Linked DNA regions of Arabidopsis thaliana. The protein of the gene in region 2 interacts with the protein of the main gene of each other region in a biochemical or structural test. Each region holds a gene or a part of one and is shown on either strand. Other genes may lie near its edges.

The links.
Region 1: the proteins of ETO1 (region 2) and CUL3 form a complex in vitro, tested with the Arabidopsis thaliana proteins (one study listed by BioGRID).
Region 3: the proteins of ETO1 (region 2) and ACS5 form a complex in vitro, tested with the Arabidopsis thaliana proteins (one study listed by BioGRID).

What each region holds. Positions count from the first base shown.
Region 1 is NC_003070.9:9,293,632-9,299,129, reverse strand, and holds CUL3 (cullin 3), read right to left. Parts: upstream 3,566-5,498; 5' UTR 3,199-3,565; intron 3,078-3,198; 5' UTR 3,068-3,077; coding exon 2,907-3,067; intron 2,794-2,906; coding exon 756-2,793; 3' UTR 501-755; downstream 1-500. Other genes in the region: ORC6 (origin recognition complex protein 6), read right to left, coding at 48-94, 189-308; RNS3 (ribonuclease 3), read left to right, coding at 5,408-5,497. UniProt on the Arabidopsis thaliana protein: Component of the cullin-RING ubiquitin ligases (CRL), or CUL3-RBX1-BTB protein E3 ligase complexes which mediate the ubiquitination and subsequent proteasomal degradation of target proteins.
Region 2 is NC_003074.8:19,199,208-19,206,178, reverse strand, and holds ETO1 (tetratricopeptide repeat (TPR)-containing protein), read left to right. Parts: upstream 1-1,714; 5' UTR 1,715-2,089; intron 2,090-2,180; coding exon 2,181-4,231; intron 4,232-4,338; coding exon 4,339-4,630; intron 4,631-4,918; coding exon 4,919-5,228; intron 5,229-5,624; coding exon 5,625-5,851; 3' UTR 5,852-6,429; downstream 6,430-6,971. Other genes in the region: AT3G51760 (hypothetical protein (DUF688)), read left to right, coding at 6,774-6,971. UniProt on the Arabidopsis thaliana protein: Essential regulator of the ethylene pathway, which acts by regulating the stability of 1-aminocyclopropane-1-carboxylate synthase (ACS) enzymes.
Region 3 is NC_003076.8:26,330,136-26,334,729, forward strand, and holds ACS5 (ACC synthase 5), read right to left. Parts: upstream 2,678-4,594; 5' UTR 2,564-2,677; coding exon 2,285-2,563; intron 2,181-2,284; coding exon 2,020-2,180; intron 1,934-2,019; coding exon 961-1,933; 3' UTR 611-960; downstream 1-610. UniProt on the Arabidopsis thaliana protein: 1-aminocyclopropane-1-carboxylate synthase (ACS) enzymes catalyze the conversion of S-adenosyl-L-methionine (SAM) into 1-aminocyclopropane-1-carboxylate (ACC), a direct precursor of ethylene.

The DNA.
Region 1 (5,498 bases), on a different chromosome or scaffold from region 2:
ACTATGGATATTGAAATCGTTATAAATCAATTACGATAATTATTTACCTAGTGGCGGCGATTTCTAGACAAATCACAGCTTTACAGATCTCACCCTGATAGAAAAATCAAATTCTCAACACATAAGGAAAAATTATAATCAAAGTACTCGATGTGAAACTTTGGGATTCAGAATCGGATTTATCTTACAACGCCGATGATGGATGAATCGAACTGAGCATCGCAAAGACGGCGGATCTCTGCAGCTTTTCTGATTAAAAGCTTGTTGTTATCGAGACTAAGTTTCCTACCTATGTCGGAGATATCCATATCCTTAATTTTCCGGCGATTGTTACAAGACAAAGAACCAAAGTCAGACACTGTGAGAGATTTTTTCCCCTAGAAATGTCAATGGAACCGATTAGGCTATGAAAACGCTATAAACAAAGCGTTGCCAACGTTTGGCGGGATTTTTTTACGCCTGGTTGAAATTTTAGCCGCGAATGTTTTTTTTGGCTCTTAACCGTTTAAAATGGGCCTTAAAAGGCCTCGAGCCGGCCCAACGTGTCCAGAAGCTGAAATCACATACGGTATCTGATGAAAGACAAAAGAAAAGGAAACAAATGTATATTCGATTAAACCGGTAGTGACGCTGTGTTGGTTCGTTCTTACCGACTACCGTACAGTTCAAAAGATTTTACATCAAACATAAGGAAATAAAGCAAAGAAAGAAACAGAGTAAAGCCTTTTTTTTTTGGGTTGTGGTATTCAACTTATTTAGGCTAGATAGCGGTAAAGTTTCCGGTCTGTACTATCCCTTTCCAAGAAATCTCGTTCAATGAGCGACTCGATTCTCTTCTTTATCTCCGTGGGATTAGCTAGGAACCGTGGCTGCAACTGTTTCGTCACCTCGGCGATTATGTTGTTGTGGTCTAGTATTTTCCTGGACTTCATGATCCTTACGATGGCTGCTTCAATCTGAGGTTTTCTGTCTTCCTCCACTCTCTGTCTCGTCTCTTGCTTCTCCGGTTCTGTTTCCTTTTGGGCAACCACAGTTCCGATCTTCACTTTGTAAAACTTGCTAGTGAACTTGTCGTTCACAACGAACAAATCCTCCTCTCCTATGTCTTTGCTCATGGGTTCTTTCTTTATCACGTTTTTGCCCTTTACACAAGCTAGCGACTGCAAACAGCGTTTAAGATCTGCTGCCGGGATTTCTGTAGCCTGTTCGATCTCTTTGTAGCTGAGTCGATCAGAATTGTTGAACAACATGAGAACACACATCTGGAAAGTCGACACGTTCAGTTCATGTTTCTGACCCTTTCCAAAGATGGCTTTGATATCTGCTGTGCCCATGTTTGTTTGCCAGGACAATCTTCTACCGGTATGTGTCCCAAGGTAGTAAGAACGGAACTTCTCACAGAGAACTGAAACTTCAGCTGGGAGATTACAAGGTACTGCAGGCTGTGTTGGCCAAGAACCAGTTGTAAGTACCTGAACAATAAGTGTAGGTCCTTCTGAAAGCTCGGGGTGACTGCCATAAAACCCACGCATTGTGTCCTCTGAAGTCTTCATGTCAGTGAACATGCCTTCCAATTTTGAAGTGAACTGATAGCCACATTCTGTCTTTAGTTTCACTATTAAACTCCTTTCTGCGTCATCTGACACAGTTTTGCCTGAGAGAAGCCTTTTAGCCAAATGCTGCTTGTAGTACTTCTCAAAGACATCTTTCTCTTGTAAATAACGGAACAGCATCATCACTTTATCAAGGATAACCTCAACATCCACATCGGTGATACCCTTAAGTCCTTTCCGTAGCTTGTCATCAACAAACAGGGAGATAAACTCAGGAGAACGAGCATTCAAGTTGATGAAATACTCGAATGAAGAATTCAGGGCATTCTGAAAGGTTTTATCATTGCCAAATGCGGTGTTGATGATTTTGTCATATTTATCCCGCTCATCCAATAGACGTTGTACAAATTCCACCGGATCCTTTGACTTTTCCGGATCAGTAACCAGTTGTTTTCCCATCTCCCTAAGATGCGAAGTCATAACGTCTCTGACAGTAACAAGACCATTAGTAACCCTGCGAAACAAGTTGTACATTCTACCCAAATCCTCATACTTGTCATTCAGAAGCATATTAACCAGACCTGAGTTCTCCATGTGAACCAGTCTCTGCATGTGGTTGGCAATCATCTCTTTCTCAACCACACTAGTAATCTTCTCTTCGCTCTTGGCATCTAAGTAGTGCGCTACCCTCTCTATCTCTTCAGTAAGGCGTTTCTCTGATTTCTTCAGATAGTCCCCACAATCACAAGATTCAATAAACTCCTGAGACTCAACCTTATAAAACTCAGAAGACGCATCCAAAAACGGCTTCTCAAAATCCTCCTGATACACAGATTCACCCAAATCCATAAACATCTTAATGACATTCCTCATCAACCCCCTATCAATAACTTCACCTATCCGTTCCTTCTGCACTAGATCAAGAAGAGTGTTTAGAAGCCTTGTATGTATCTTAGTGAAATGCACAACATTATCCCTCCACAAGTTAAGCCCCATCGGATGAACATGAGTCTTTTTGGTGCTCTCAATATAAGTCCTATCCATATACATGAGAATGTCTCGAATCATCTCTAACGCTTTGTTGTGCTCATTCCATTTCTTATTAAGCTCTTCTAGAAACGACCCTCCCTGAGCTGCCTCGATAAGCTTGGATTTTTCTTTGAGATGAGAAGTCATAGTAGCAATAAACCCAGTATATAGCTTCTCACCAAACTTGTGCAGGACCATGTTGTACGCATTTCTGAGCCACAATATACACAAATAATTCCATTAACACGAAACCTAGCTAAGTTCCAGAAACATTACCAGTTTCTACAGGATTCAAAGAAAGGCAAGAGAATGAAAGAAATTGACCTGTAAAGTTCTTCGAAACTGAGACCGCTAGCATCTTGATTGTAAATCTGATGGATCGCACGCTCAAGAATCTGCCAAGTTTTATCAGCGTATTTGGGATCCACAACGACTCGATGCTTAAACGCCTCTATCTGAAAATTCCTCTTCTTCTGATTACTCATATTTTGAAACCTGAATCCAAAACAAATCAATCTAAATTCACACAGCAACGAAAAAATTGACGAGCGAGAAGAAAGTATATATGTATAATCATAATGAAAATCAGGTGGATCGAGGAAATCGGAAGACTGACCGGAGAGGAAAGACGGATGATCGGGATTAGGGTTTGGAATTGTATTCTTTGCTTCCGTGAAAAGATTTGGGGGAAACAAAAAGATAGGAAATGGAATAATAATCGAAAAGTTTAAAGGAGAAAGAAGCTTAAGGCTAATTTGCAGCGTCGAAGAGATATAGATAGAGAGGTATCGGAGAAGATAGATTTCGAAGGTGGAGAAGAAGAAGAGGACAGACCAAACGGAGCGGAAGAAATAAAAGTGGACTCTCCGTCTCTGCTGGTGGTTTCCAAACTATAACGTATTTATTAAATTAAAGTCGCGGTTGTCACATTCTCGTCCTTTGGTATATTGGTTACAAAGAATTGTGAAATATCGAAGTCCAAGGATCGATCCCTAGTCGAAGCCAGTTATTTTTTTTTTTTTGACATTGGAGGTTTAGTTAGCTTTTATACTTATGTGGATATGACAAATTGGCACGTCGGTCATTTCATTTAATTGAACTAAAAATATGTCAACTTCTATTTCATAAAGAGGCTTTGAATCCCTTAGAGTGGCGAATGTTGCTTCTCCTCTTTTGGCAGAAGCCATGGCGCTTCATCTAGCCCAACAAAATGCCTTAGAACTCGGTTTTAGGAAGTCACCTTCGCTTCAGATTTGCAAACGCTGATCAAAGCTATCAACTCAGAATCCTTCCCAAAGAATCTCTACGTGATTTTCCAAGATGTTCTTGCTCTTTCGTTTAATTTCGATCAAATTTCTTTTCACTTCATTTTTAGAGAAAAAAACGGTTGTGCATATGCATATGCAAAATCTGCATTAAATTATGCACTTATTGTACCAACTTATGTATCGGTTTAAGTTTCGGTTTAATGAAATTTCAGCTTCTTGACGAAAAAAAAAAATCCCTTTTAATTCATTCACAAAAAAAGTTATATCGTCTGTTACCTTTCTCTTCACCAGTTTACCAACCTTTGTTGCTTGCATTCACTGTTTCGATGCCATATTCAATCGTCTCTATGCATCTGTTTAAAAAATGCATTTCCTCCACAACTTCAGCGACACTATGTTCTAACTTCTAACTAGTTTTTGTCGTTGTAAACACGTCAATGGATCTTCTTCCTTATCCCTGGTCAAGCTCATGATGATATTCTTTGTCTTTGCTTTCTTGAAGCCATTTTCTGGAAAGCAACGCATGGTATATACCATCTTTCTTGTTTTAATCATACAAACTTTGACTTGGACCTATCTTCTTACTTTTCATTGTATAATCTACAAACTTTATAACAATCTTCACCTTCCCTATAAGGTTAACCCAACTAGTGGATTATTCGTATCCACCTCAAGCGCCAAAACATGGTAAGGATCATTGGTAGATTTTAGTATGATTGTGAGGTAGGATCATTGCCGGCTCAAAGTTATGGGCGGTCTAAAGTTTTTTTTTTTTAATAAAAAAATTAGCAGAAGTAGTTGAGGGAACTCGAACACACAACCTCTTGGCTGAAAATGTGACATAAATCGCTGCACTGTAAGGAATTTTTATAATTTTATTGCCCCCAAATATTTGTGATACCTAAGGTTCTTGCATAAATGCAGAACTTGATAGAATACGGTACACACTGGAGTCTGTAACTGTAGAAGTAGAACCAAGTAGCCAACATGCGCCTCATCAAGAAACTTGACGTACGTTTCCGAGACGGGACAATGGTTTGATTTATGCCTTTATGGGTCTTTAACACTTTATGAGAAACAAGGATCTTTAAGTGGATTTAAATATTTAAAATTTAAGAAACAAAGGTCTTTAAGTGAATACTATAAGAGTTTCTTTATTTATTTTTCCAATCGAATACTCATAATTTTATAAATACTGAGACACATAATATTCGGCTAGCTCTAAAACATTGGAGCTGGAAAGTTTGCCTTACGTTACGTTAATTGGAGCTACAAAATACTCATAATTTTGTAGTTGAAGCATGATGAAAAGTTTGCCTTACGTTATTACTTTTTAAAGCATTGGAGCTGAAAATAAAATGCTTGCACGAAATACTAACCTAACACAATTAAGCAAACATATACCAATCACACGTCACGTCTCTCTACCCAAAACAAAATATCACACTTCACGTTATATGACTTATATAAACATATTCTAAACTATTTATCTATCATCCATCCTTCATTGGTTTTCGACAAATTTGATTCCCACAAATTATTTGATATCTTGAGGAAATGAAATTCTTCATTTTTATTCTAGCGTTACAACAACTCTACGTACAAAGTTTCGCCCAAGATTTCGATTTCTTCTACTTCGTTTTACAGG
Region 2 (6,971 bases):
ATATTTTAATTTTAATTTATATTCTATTCTGTGATGATTTCTTACGCTTTGTATCGGTAAACATAATTGGATTTGCGAGAAAATATCAGCAATGTATAATTGTGTCACGCACAACCGGTATGTGGCAGCCTCAACATTTGAAAGGTACTTAATACTTATGAATATAAATGATAACGACGAATCTCTGCATAAATATTGTTTATGAAAGATTCTGACAGATCTATGGACGTTGTTTTTTTTTGCGTAATTTAAACTGGCCAAATAGTAGTAAAACTAGAATTTATTTTGGTCAAGCGGAATATAGTTTTGACAGATTCTAAGAGATGAGTGATTCAGGATTTTTATATTCAAATTACCAACGAAATAACTGATAATATTAGCAGATTATTTTAAGCTTAATCGATGGACTAACTGAAACATTTTTTTTGTCAAATTTTTGATGTTGTTAAGAGTAATTTTCGTTCATGAGGTTCCAATAACTCAGCTCAGCTCGCTTCACTTGAGTGTCAAATCCATGAAGAACATACTTCTAGCAAGACGTTTCCGCCTCGGCTGCACACGTCTACTATCCCAATGGTTCTCCCATGCTTAGCAAACTCAACTAGTTTCAGTTTCTATGTAATAGTTATCTACGGCTTTTTAATTTTTTTTACCATAAAAGCTCCTTGCCCCCAGCTTTGTAAATAACCTGTTTCCTTTTGGTAATATAATTCACATTTTATCCAAAAAAAAATCCATGAAGAACCAACCTTTCAATATATAAAAACAAGTTAATCCATGGAGACAGTCATTGATTAGTGAACATATTTCTAATAAAAGTTAATATGCATGGCTAAGAGAACAAAAACCATTTATCATGGTAGTTTATTTAATTAAAATTGCAAAATTATGAATCCAATATTTTGTTTATTATTGATTTTTTTTTATCAAAATTAGACTCGTCTCTAGTTTATGCGGAAAAATTGAAATATTTTTTTTTATCATTTACAACATTTATACACTATAGTAGTTAACAGTTATGAAACCGCAATGGAAAGATATAATATTTTACTAGTAACACTTTCTTTCTGATTTGTGAGTTAGCAAAAATATAAAAATGTGTCATTTGGTGTTTTTATAATGAAAATATAATAAAATAACAGATTAATTACAACCAATCTTGTCAAAAGGGAAGACAATAAATAAATACCAAAAAATGATGGAATCCACTCTTCTTCAAGCTACAATAGATATGAATGTTGGCACTGTTTCAAGGCACCCAAAAGTAAAAGTTAAAATTCAGCCAGAGAAAATGGTTAAAAGAAAAGTAAGCATACACATATTAGACTTAAACAAATAGAAAAAAGGGAAACAAATGTAACATAGAAGCATGCTAAAGTAAAAAGTGGGGGGGGGGGGATCAATAAACTGTCAAAGTAAAATTAAAGGCCATTACTTTCACATAAATGTTTAATTAATTTTTTTCAACCTTTTTGGAGATTGTAAAAAGTGCCGCGAAAATCTAAGAAATAAAAAAAATGGCAGTTGATAACGTTAGAAGAGGATTAATTTAAGCCTTTAAAGGGAAATAAATAAACTAAGCAAATTACTACTTTCCACAAAAACTAACAAGAGGACAAAAATAAAAAAGGCAAAGATAAATAAAAAAAACCTGAATTAAAAAAAAGATACCACAAACAAACACATATAGTAATAAAATTTTAATTTTGCATTATTAGAAGTACGCATGACTTCTCTCTGAAAAACAGATTGGTAATAAAAAAGAAAAAGAAAAACAATAAACGAAAACTGAGAGAGAGATTGAAAGAGAGATCGAGCGGAGGAAGATTCTTCCTCCAATTACCATCTCTCTATTTTTACGGGAAGATTCGTAAAATTAGTGCCATCAACCCAAAAAAAAAAACGAACCGGATCGATGAAACTTACAGTGCAAAAACACCATTTCCGAGAAGAAGAAGAAGACGAAGAACAAGACCTTCGTTGAGAAACTTTATTTGAAAAAAAAAAGAAACGATTTTTATTGGTTAAAGGGACAGACCTCCTTTTGGTGGATTGGCTCCGTGATCCAATCCTCGGAATTGTTTTTAAGGTGACGGAACAAATTTGTAAATCTTGTTTTTGGTATTGACCCAGATCTTTGGATAAATTTGAAATTTTTATTGGTTGTTTTTGATTTGAAGATGCAGCATAATCTCTTCACAACAATGCGAAGTTTGAAGCTTGCTGAAGGTTGTAAAGGTACACAAGTTTACGCTCTTAACCCATCAGCTCCTACTCCGCCTCCTCCTCCTGGTAATAGCAGCAGCGGTGGTGGTGGTGGTGGTGGTAGCGGCGGTGGCACCGGAGGTGTTGGGGATAAGCTTTTACAACATCTTTCAGATCATCTTCGTGTTAATTCTGTCCGATCTAAATCAAGCCGGACTTATCCTCCTCCTACTCAACCAAACGCTGTCGTTTCTCCCGAGTTTCTTCTCCCTTGTGGACTTCCTGTTACGGATCTGCTTGAACCTCAAATCGATCCTTGCTTGAAATTCGTTGATTTGGTTGAGAAGATGGCTCAAGTTTATCGTAGGATTGAGAATTGTTCTCAGTTTGAGAAATCTGGGGCTTATTTAGAGCAATGCGCTATCTTCCGGGGCATTTCTGATCCGAAACTGTTCCGGCGGAGTCTCCGGTCGTCTAGGCAACATGCGGTGGATGTTCACGCGAAAGTCGTGTTAGCCTCGTGGCTTAGGTTCGAGAGGAGGGAGGATGAGTTGATTGGAACGACTTCTATGGATTGTTGTGGCAGGAATTTGGAATGTCCAAAGGCTACTCTTGTTTCTGGTTATGATCCTGAATCTGTTTATGATCCATGTGTTTGCTCTGGAGCTTCTAGATCAGAGATGATGAATGAAGATGAATGTTCTACTTCTCAAGAAGTAGACTATGATATGTCATTTTGTATTGGTGATGAAGAGGTTCGTTGTGTGAGGTACAAAATCGCGTCTTTGTCCAGACCTTTCAAGGCGATGTTATACGGTGGGTTTAGAGAAATGAAACGAGCCACGATCAATTTTACGCAGAATGGAATCTCTGTTGAAGGGATGAGAGCTGCAGAGATTTTCAGCAGGACCAACAGGTTAGATAACTTCCCTCCTAATGTTGTCTTGGAGCTTCTTAAGCTTGCAAATCGGTTCTGCTGCGATGAATTGAAATCCGCTTGTGATTCGCATTTGGCACATCTTGTTAATTCTCTGGATGAGGCAATGTTGTTGATTGAGTACGGATTAGAAGAGGCTGCGTATCTTCTGGTGGCAGCTTGTCTTCAGGTTTTTCTCAGGGAATTGCCTAGCTCTATGCATAATCCGAATGTTATAAAGATTTTCTGCAGCGCCGAGGGACGGGAAAGACTGGCGTCTCTTGGCCATGCTTCTTTTACATTGTACTTCTTCTTGAGCCAGATTGCGATGGAAGATGATATGAAATCTAACACAACTGTGATGCTCTTAGAACGTCTGGTTGAATGTGCGGTGGATAGTTGGGAGAAACAGCTTGCGTATCACCAATTAGGAGTGGTGATGCTAGAGAGAAAAGAATATAAGGATGCTCAGAGATGGTTTAACGCAGCGGTTGAGGCTGGCCATCTTTACTCTCTCGTGGGTGTTGCCAGGACTAAGTTTAAGCGTGACCACAGGTACTCGGCTTATAAGATCATCAATTCCTTGATTTCGGATCACAAGGCTACTGGGTGGATGCACCAGGAAAGGTCCTTGTATTGCAGTGGTAAAGAAAAGCTGCTTGATTTGGATACAGCTACCGAGTTTGACCCTACTTTGACATTCCCCTACAAGTTCAGGGCAGTGGCTTTGGTGGAAGAAAACCAGTTTGGAGCTGCAATCGCAGAACTGAACAAGATTCTTGGATTCAAGGCCTCTCCTGACTGTCTAGAGATGAGGGCATGGATTTCTATAGGTATGGAGGATTACGAGGGTGCTTTGAAAGATATTCGGGCGCTTTTGACATTGGAGCCAAATTTTATGATGTTTAACTGGAAAATCCATGGTGATCATATGGTGGAGTTGCTCCGTCCGCTAGCCCAGCAGTGGAGCCAGGCTGATTGCTGGATGCAGCTGTATGATCGTTGGTCTTCTGTGGATGATATTGGATCTCTAGCAGTTGTTCATCATATGCTTGCAAATGATCCAGGGAAGAGTCTTTTACGGTTCAGACAGTCTCTTCTTCTCCTACGGTATAATCTAAACCTCTCTTTCCGCTTCTCAATGAATTTTTTTTCTTGTGGTGCATGTTGTTTTAGACTGTAAGTGATTTTAACAAGTGCTGGTTGTATACTGACAGGCTCAATTGTCAAAAGGCAGCAATGCGTAGTCTAAGGCTGGCTCGAAACCATTCAAAGTCGGAGCATGAGAGACTTGTGTATGAAGGATGGATACTGTATGATACAGGCCACCGCGAGGAAGCCCTTGCCAAAGCGGAGGAATCCATTTCCATCCAAAGGTCGTTTGAAGCGTTTTTCCTCAAAGCTTACGCCCTTGCAGACTCTACGCTTGACCCGGACTCCTCTAATTATGTGATTCAGCTCCTTCAAGAAGCGCTTAAGTGCCCCTCAGATGGTCTCCGTAAGGGACAAGTAAGTAAAGAGTTCAACAGTTTTCATTTATGTAATTCAATTTCTCAATAAGTCAATTCCTTTTCTAGAGGGTTTGTTGGATCATCCTTCAGACTGCCATAGTATCAGAATCCCAATGTAAAACTTTTTGTTCTTGGTGCCTGGAATAACTTGTTGATAGTGGAATGTGGTCGCATCTCAGGAGCCAACTCTCTTAAAAACCGTTTAGTATATTTGGTCAAAAGGTTATCCTACTAAATCATATGACATTCAATATCATGAACTCCCGTTTGGTGTATTTGCTTGCAGGCATTGAACAACCTGGGGAGCGTATACGTGGATTGTGAAAAGCTGGATCTTGCAGCTGATTGCTACACAAACGCGCTCACCATCAAGCATACACGAGCTCACCAAGGTCTTGCACGTGTTTATCACCTGAAAAACCAACGGAAAGCTGCTTATGATGAAATGACAAAGCTAATAGAGAAGGCTCAGAACAATGCGTCGGCATATGAGAAGCGCTCTGAATATTGTGACCGCGAGATGGCTCAGAGCGACCTTTGCCTGGCAACACAACTTGACCCTCTCCGAACCTATCCTTACAGATACAGAGCCGCAGGTATGTTAATGACACAACCAAGTTCTTGTTTATCCTCCTTTTGTCTGTTGTTTATAATTGGATGCCAGAAACAAGACAACAATGGCTGATCCTTTCTGAGGGATTCTCCCACGTATAAAAGTGTTAGAAAAACGTAGAACCCAGCTTATGTGGTGATGAAAACGGAAATGATAATTTGTGACCCCAACACATGAAAGAAATGAGATTTCGATCATCTTTCTGGAGATAGAAACAGAACTGCGAGTGTTATATACTTCTGTACTTATACCGAATTGATATGCAGTTTCTCTGGTTTGGTTTTGGTGAATTTGAATATGAAAAATAGTTTTGCTAAGACCAGAGTATCAAGTTTTCTTTTTAAGTTTCGCTTTGTTTAACATGAACTCTTGGTTGCAGTTCTTATGGACGACCACAAAGAAAGTGAAGCCATAGACGAGCTTTCGAGGGCGATATCATTTAAACCAGATCTTCAGCTATTACATCTACGAGCAGCATTCTATGATTCAATGGGAGAAGGAGCGTCTGCTATAAAAGATTGTGAAGCAGCATTATGTATTGATCCAGGTCATGCAGATACACTCGAGCTCTACCACAAAGCTCGTGAACCAAACGACCAAAAGTAGAACAAAACTATCAATTTGGTTTGATGGGCAAAAATATTTCTCTTCTTCCCTCCTGGTATGGCTTCTACACTGTTTCATTTTCCTTGTGCAAAACAGAACTTGGAGCAAATCAAAGAAAGCTTGGTTTGAGTGAACCAGGGAAAAAGCAAGCATAGCCATGTAAATAGAAACTTTTTTATATATTATTTTTTTTTCTCTATAATTTTGGTTATTGGGGGGTGAGAGGATACTTTATAAGTAGTGCAGAGAGTGTTTCTTGCTGCTAAAGATAATACGTTTTCTGGCCAACAAAAAAAAGGGAAAACCACGAAGAAGAACTTACCTCTGGTGAAATTGGACTTCTTCTTCTGTCCTATTTCTAGATGTATTATTGCTTCTTTCTTTTTATTTATTTTTTTCATCACTGGAATTATGTAAAATTGTATCTGTAACTTCTTCACCTTTTTTTTTTTTACATGTTTCTTGTATTGATTCTCCAAAAGCATCCGGGGATTTGTTTTTTATCCTCCTGAAACAAGAAAACAAAGAAACTATTCATTCTTCTTACATTTCAACATGTTTCACCAAGAGTATCCTCAATATTTCAACATTCTTTTTTATCACTTGATGAGGAAATCATCTCCTTACTTCTAGATTTGGGTTTGAGTTCTTGTTTGGTTTCATGATCGATTTTATCACCACATGGTTGGATTGGAAACTCAACTTTTTCCAAAGCTCTCCTGACCTGTGAACACAATAAAGAGGCCACAAATATCGGTTTTGCATACACGAGAAAGTTTCAAACTTTCAACAACTTCTCATTAAATTTCAACTTTCAGCTAACAAACTAGAAAAGAAGAGTGTCAACACAACAAAGATCTCTCCCAAACTCACAATTTTGCCTTCTTTGGGTCGCAAACAAGAACATACCCTTCCCACTCAGATGATTTTGTATCTTACGGTTGAAGAAATGATGGATATTAACCGATCCCGAAGATTGAACTTCAATGCTCCATTCTTGTCGACGAAGCGCCATGTCACCCAAGAGAAGCTTCCGGGCCAGTTTCCGGAAGCTTCTGTTCCATTTTGCTGGGAAACCGCTCCCGGGATGCCCAAGAACTCGTCTCATTTGAAAAATGAC
Region 3 (4,594 bases), on a different chromosome or scaffold from region 2:
GCTCTCGATATACAGATTTCGGTTTCTCATAAGTTGCTCATTTTTTTCTTATAATTACGTTAATCCTGATAGAGTAAGTTTTGATTATACAAAAAAAAAATGTGGATTTCGTTGTAAACTTGTAATTTTAGTTCAAATATGTGACGTGAACATTCTTACGCAATGCAACGTACCTATTCAAAGCTCAAAACTTTACTGCCGTAGAACGCTAGAAGCTACCTTTACCCCGAAATTGTTAATGGGTTTTAGTCGATTTTTAACTAAATTATTTAGGCTTCATCGAATATTTTCGACAAGTAGATCATACCTTCTCTCTTGATTCACCTAAGTGGAAAACCTTTGACTTTCCCCTTTTGCTTTCTCAGTTGACCAATTCGACAATTCCCGCCATATTACCATATAATGATTAATTAATTAGTTAATTGACATTAAATTAAGCCTCCTTTTGATATGCCTCAACTAACGTCCTTAACCAACAACGTTAACACGATCTTTATAGCCTTATAGTCAGAGGAGAATTCTCACAACAAACTCAAAAACTATACCAAATGATAGAGCATAAAATTAAAGAAACCCATATTTATAAAACAAAATATATATAAACTAAAAAGAGTGAATTACATTTTTATATATGGGTACAATACACACAAACGTTTCACTAAAATTACAACGGGATATATATTTATTTATATATATAGCCACTGCAAATCCACATTCGGATTGAGTGCATTAAAAACATATAATAACACATAGTAACAATTTTACACCCGAAAAATTGCATAAATTAAAGACTCACCCAAACATTAAAAAAAATATTACATATATAATGATATGATTATAGATATCTTGGAAAATTAAAAATACTTTCCCAAAATATAAAAAATGAAGGAAATAAAGAAGAAGAAAAAACCGTGAAGTTTTCTTTTGTTCGTCGTCTCAAACTTAGGGAGATGAATAATTTCATCGTTCATCAGGTACACGATCGGTCCATGAAACCCGGAAAACCCAGTTAGAGACTGTCTTCTTCCTCAAACTCTTGAGCCTTTCATGGCTGCTTCTTGATATCATTCGTCCACAGTCTGTGGATTCTACGAAAGTTTTGAGCCTCTTCAAGGCCAAATCGAGTGTGTCCTCGCTCATATTAGCGAAACAAACCCTAAACCAACCCGGTTCGGTGCAGTGACATGAAGAACCGGGTGATATGTTTAGTTTCACGTTGTAAACAATCTTTTTCCAGAGGTCAAGCTCTGCTTCAAATGTGTTTGTGTCCAAAAGGTGTCTCATGTCGACCCAACAGAACAAACCCGCGTTGCTTCTCAGGCAAGTAATCCCTGCAGACTCAAGACCAGACACGAGGCGTCTCTGTCTGGACTTGAGTCGTTTCTGGTTCTCTTCGAGGTATTGGCTAGTGAACTTCTTGTCGGAGAGCAATGCAGAGAGAAGGTATTGTGTCTGAGAAGAAACAAGACCAAAACTTGACATTTTTGTAGCTGCTGAAACGATCATTTCGTCGTTGGAGTAGATCGCTCCCACACGGAAACCAGGAAGTCCCAGATCTTTAGAAAGGCTATAAACGACGTGGACTCGTTTTGAAACCTCCGTGTCTTCGAGTTTCTTGTCTTTCAAGACATCCATTACGCTTATGAACTGTTCAAACCCGAACATAGTGCCTGAATAGATCTCGTCGCTAATGAGATGAATGTTCTTGGAAGTGATGAAGTCAACGAGAAGGTTAAGTTCACGTCTGGTCAACGCAGTGCCAAGTGGGTTAGATGGATTCGTGACAAGAACTCCTTTGACTTTGAGATCAAGTTTCTGGGCTTGTTGGTAAGCTTGTTGCAGAGCTGATTCCGTGATTTGGAAGCCATTAGAGCTTGAGCAGTGAATGGGTACTATCTCTGCTCCGGTTCTCCATTTAAGATCTCTATCAAATCTGTAATCATAAAAAAGCCTAGACGTAAGCATATATTTCTATTGGGTTTACTTGGAATCCAAGTAAAGAGGAGAAGTGTAATTTACCCAGGATAGTAAGGAGTAGGCAAAAGGAAAGCATCGCCAGGCTCTGCAAGGCAAAACATGAGAGTCTCATTCGCAGATGTCGAACCAGCCGCTAAAACAATCTTTTTTGGATCGAACGTGACACGGTTTCCTCTTATCTCTTCCATAAACTCAGCCATAGCCTGTAAAAAATGACAGAAAATGTTCATGAGAAATGGATTCATTACTTGTGATACACGTCAGGTTACTCTCTTTATTGAATTTGAGAAAAATGAAAGAAGCTTACTTTTTTGAATTCAGGCATGCCATGATAGTCTTGAAATAGAGCAAGCTCTCTGAAAATGGATTGACCGTTCCTCTTGAGACTTGCCGCGTCTGGGTTCTTAGTTAACCATGACTCGATTAGATCGAAACATAGCTGGTTTTCGGCTAGACCCATCTGGATCATCCCATTAGGGTTCTTGATCTCATCATAAGGATTCTTCTCGTACTCTTCCCATCCCAAGAAGTAGGATGAGTCTTGTCCATGACCATTGCTTGTCACTTTTGTCGAAAGCTGTTTCATTCTCTGTTTTTAAAGTCAAGAGATTTTGGTCGTAGAGAAGACTAATGTGGGTGAAGGAGAGAACGAAAAGAAGAGATCTTGAATTAGGGTTTAAGTTGGTGAAGAGTGAGATGTGGTTGGAGAAGCAATGGGTCTGTTGGGATATATATATATATAGATAATAATAATCTAACGACATTTAATTTCAAAAATAAAATGTGACAACAGAATCAGAAACTAGAGAGACTTTTTTGACCGTCCAGACATTACCATAGTTTTTAGTAAATATTCTCCAAGACATGTGAGACAACTTCTTTTATTATTTAATGCGATCTCCAATAATTAACAAGCTATATTATTTAATACAAAATAAACAATTAAAACATTGCAGTAGTTCTTGTTTCTTTTTGAAAATAAGAATGATCTATTATTGAGTTTCTATTTATTATTGCATTCACACATACAGCAATAAATCTTAGGATTATGTTTAAATAAAAATAAAAAAACCAGCTCTACATAGGGACAAAATTAAATAACACATTTTGAGCTTCTTTCCAAAATTTATTTGATCGTTTTCTAGGATTCAAGCATATTTAATAATAATTCTACAAATTAATAGTACTAAAATGATTAGTCTTTACGCGTTTCCGTCACCGCCGGACCGTCCTTATTATGACCATCATTTAGGGACCAAACATAGCAATTTAAAAAGAAACCTCAAATGTAATTAACTTTTTGTTGTTGTTGTATAAACTGAATCACTATGCTTATGATTAGTTTAGTCGTCCATTCACGATGTCAGCTACAAAATTGGCTGTGTGAAGTTGGATAGAAAAAAGAACCAACATTAATTTATATTCTACTTCTTGTCCAATACTAATGCCAAATAATTACTATTTATAGACTGCTAAAATTTTATATGTCGTATAATGTGAGTATTTTGCTGAAAAAAACTGTGAGCATTTTATGTAACTTTAGTTATCAGATTCTGTAATTAAGTGTCAACACGTTGACTTAGAAAATATTAACAAAATAAAATAGGGTGGTAAACGTAAAATTGGAAAACAAGGAAATGACATACAAGAAAAATGAACAGAGACAAGTGGAGCTAGGGGAGTCAAATGTAATGTCATACCGACATCAAATCGTCTAAAGTAATCCTGTATACCTATGCATCTACGTATGTATACATTTATACGGCTAAAATACATTTATTTATACGGTAGAGGGTAAGTCAAATAGGACCATTTATGCTCCCTAAACTCTAGTAGTCCCAAATGTCTTGGTCCGCAATTTTTTTTCGTTTTCTCTTCCTCTATCATTGACAACAACTTATTTATTTGGTGGGATCGGATACATACAAATATGTTTTTTACTGACTAGGATGTTTTCAGTCTTGTAATTATCGACAGGTTAACCGGAGTTGTAATTAGTTTTTTTTTTTTTTTGGTTAAAGGGTTTTGGAGTTAGTTTCATGTGAATTATGCGGTATTCACTGACGTAGACTGATCTCCAATACCAATAGAATAAATGATGATAGTTTAGCATAATTGTGTTGGTCCGCAGTTTATGTAAAAATAAATGTTGAGTCAGATATTGTTGCAGATATATTGATATAGTTACTTTGATCATGGGTGAAATAATGAGTTTGGATGGTTATCATAATAAAAACATAAACACAAATTTTTTGTAGAATACAATTTTCCTACTAGTTGAATTGAGCTTTAGTTGTATATATCTTCATCCTGTTTTTTTTTTTAAAATGTATACAAATCAAAGAAATAAACATATTGTTTATTATATAAACTCGAAACTTTATTTAAAATAAGCTACTAGTAGAATGCACAAATATTTCTTGAAACATGAGATTTTCAAAATAAAAATCATAAAAATGATGTGCAATGAGTGATTCAGTTTTGGACCTAGAATGATTAGTATAAGAGCATAATATTTAATCAATCAAATTGAGTTATATTAACATAAAAATCAGGTGGACGATATCAAAACCCATGTTGGTGGCCGTTGGTTATAACTTATACCCCCAGATTTGTA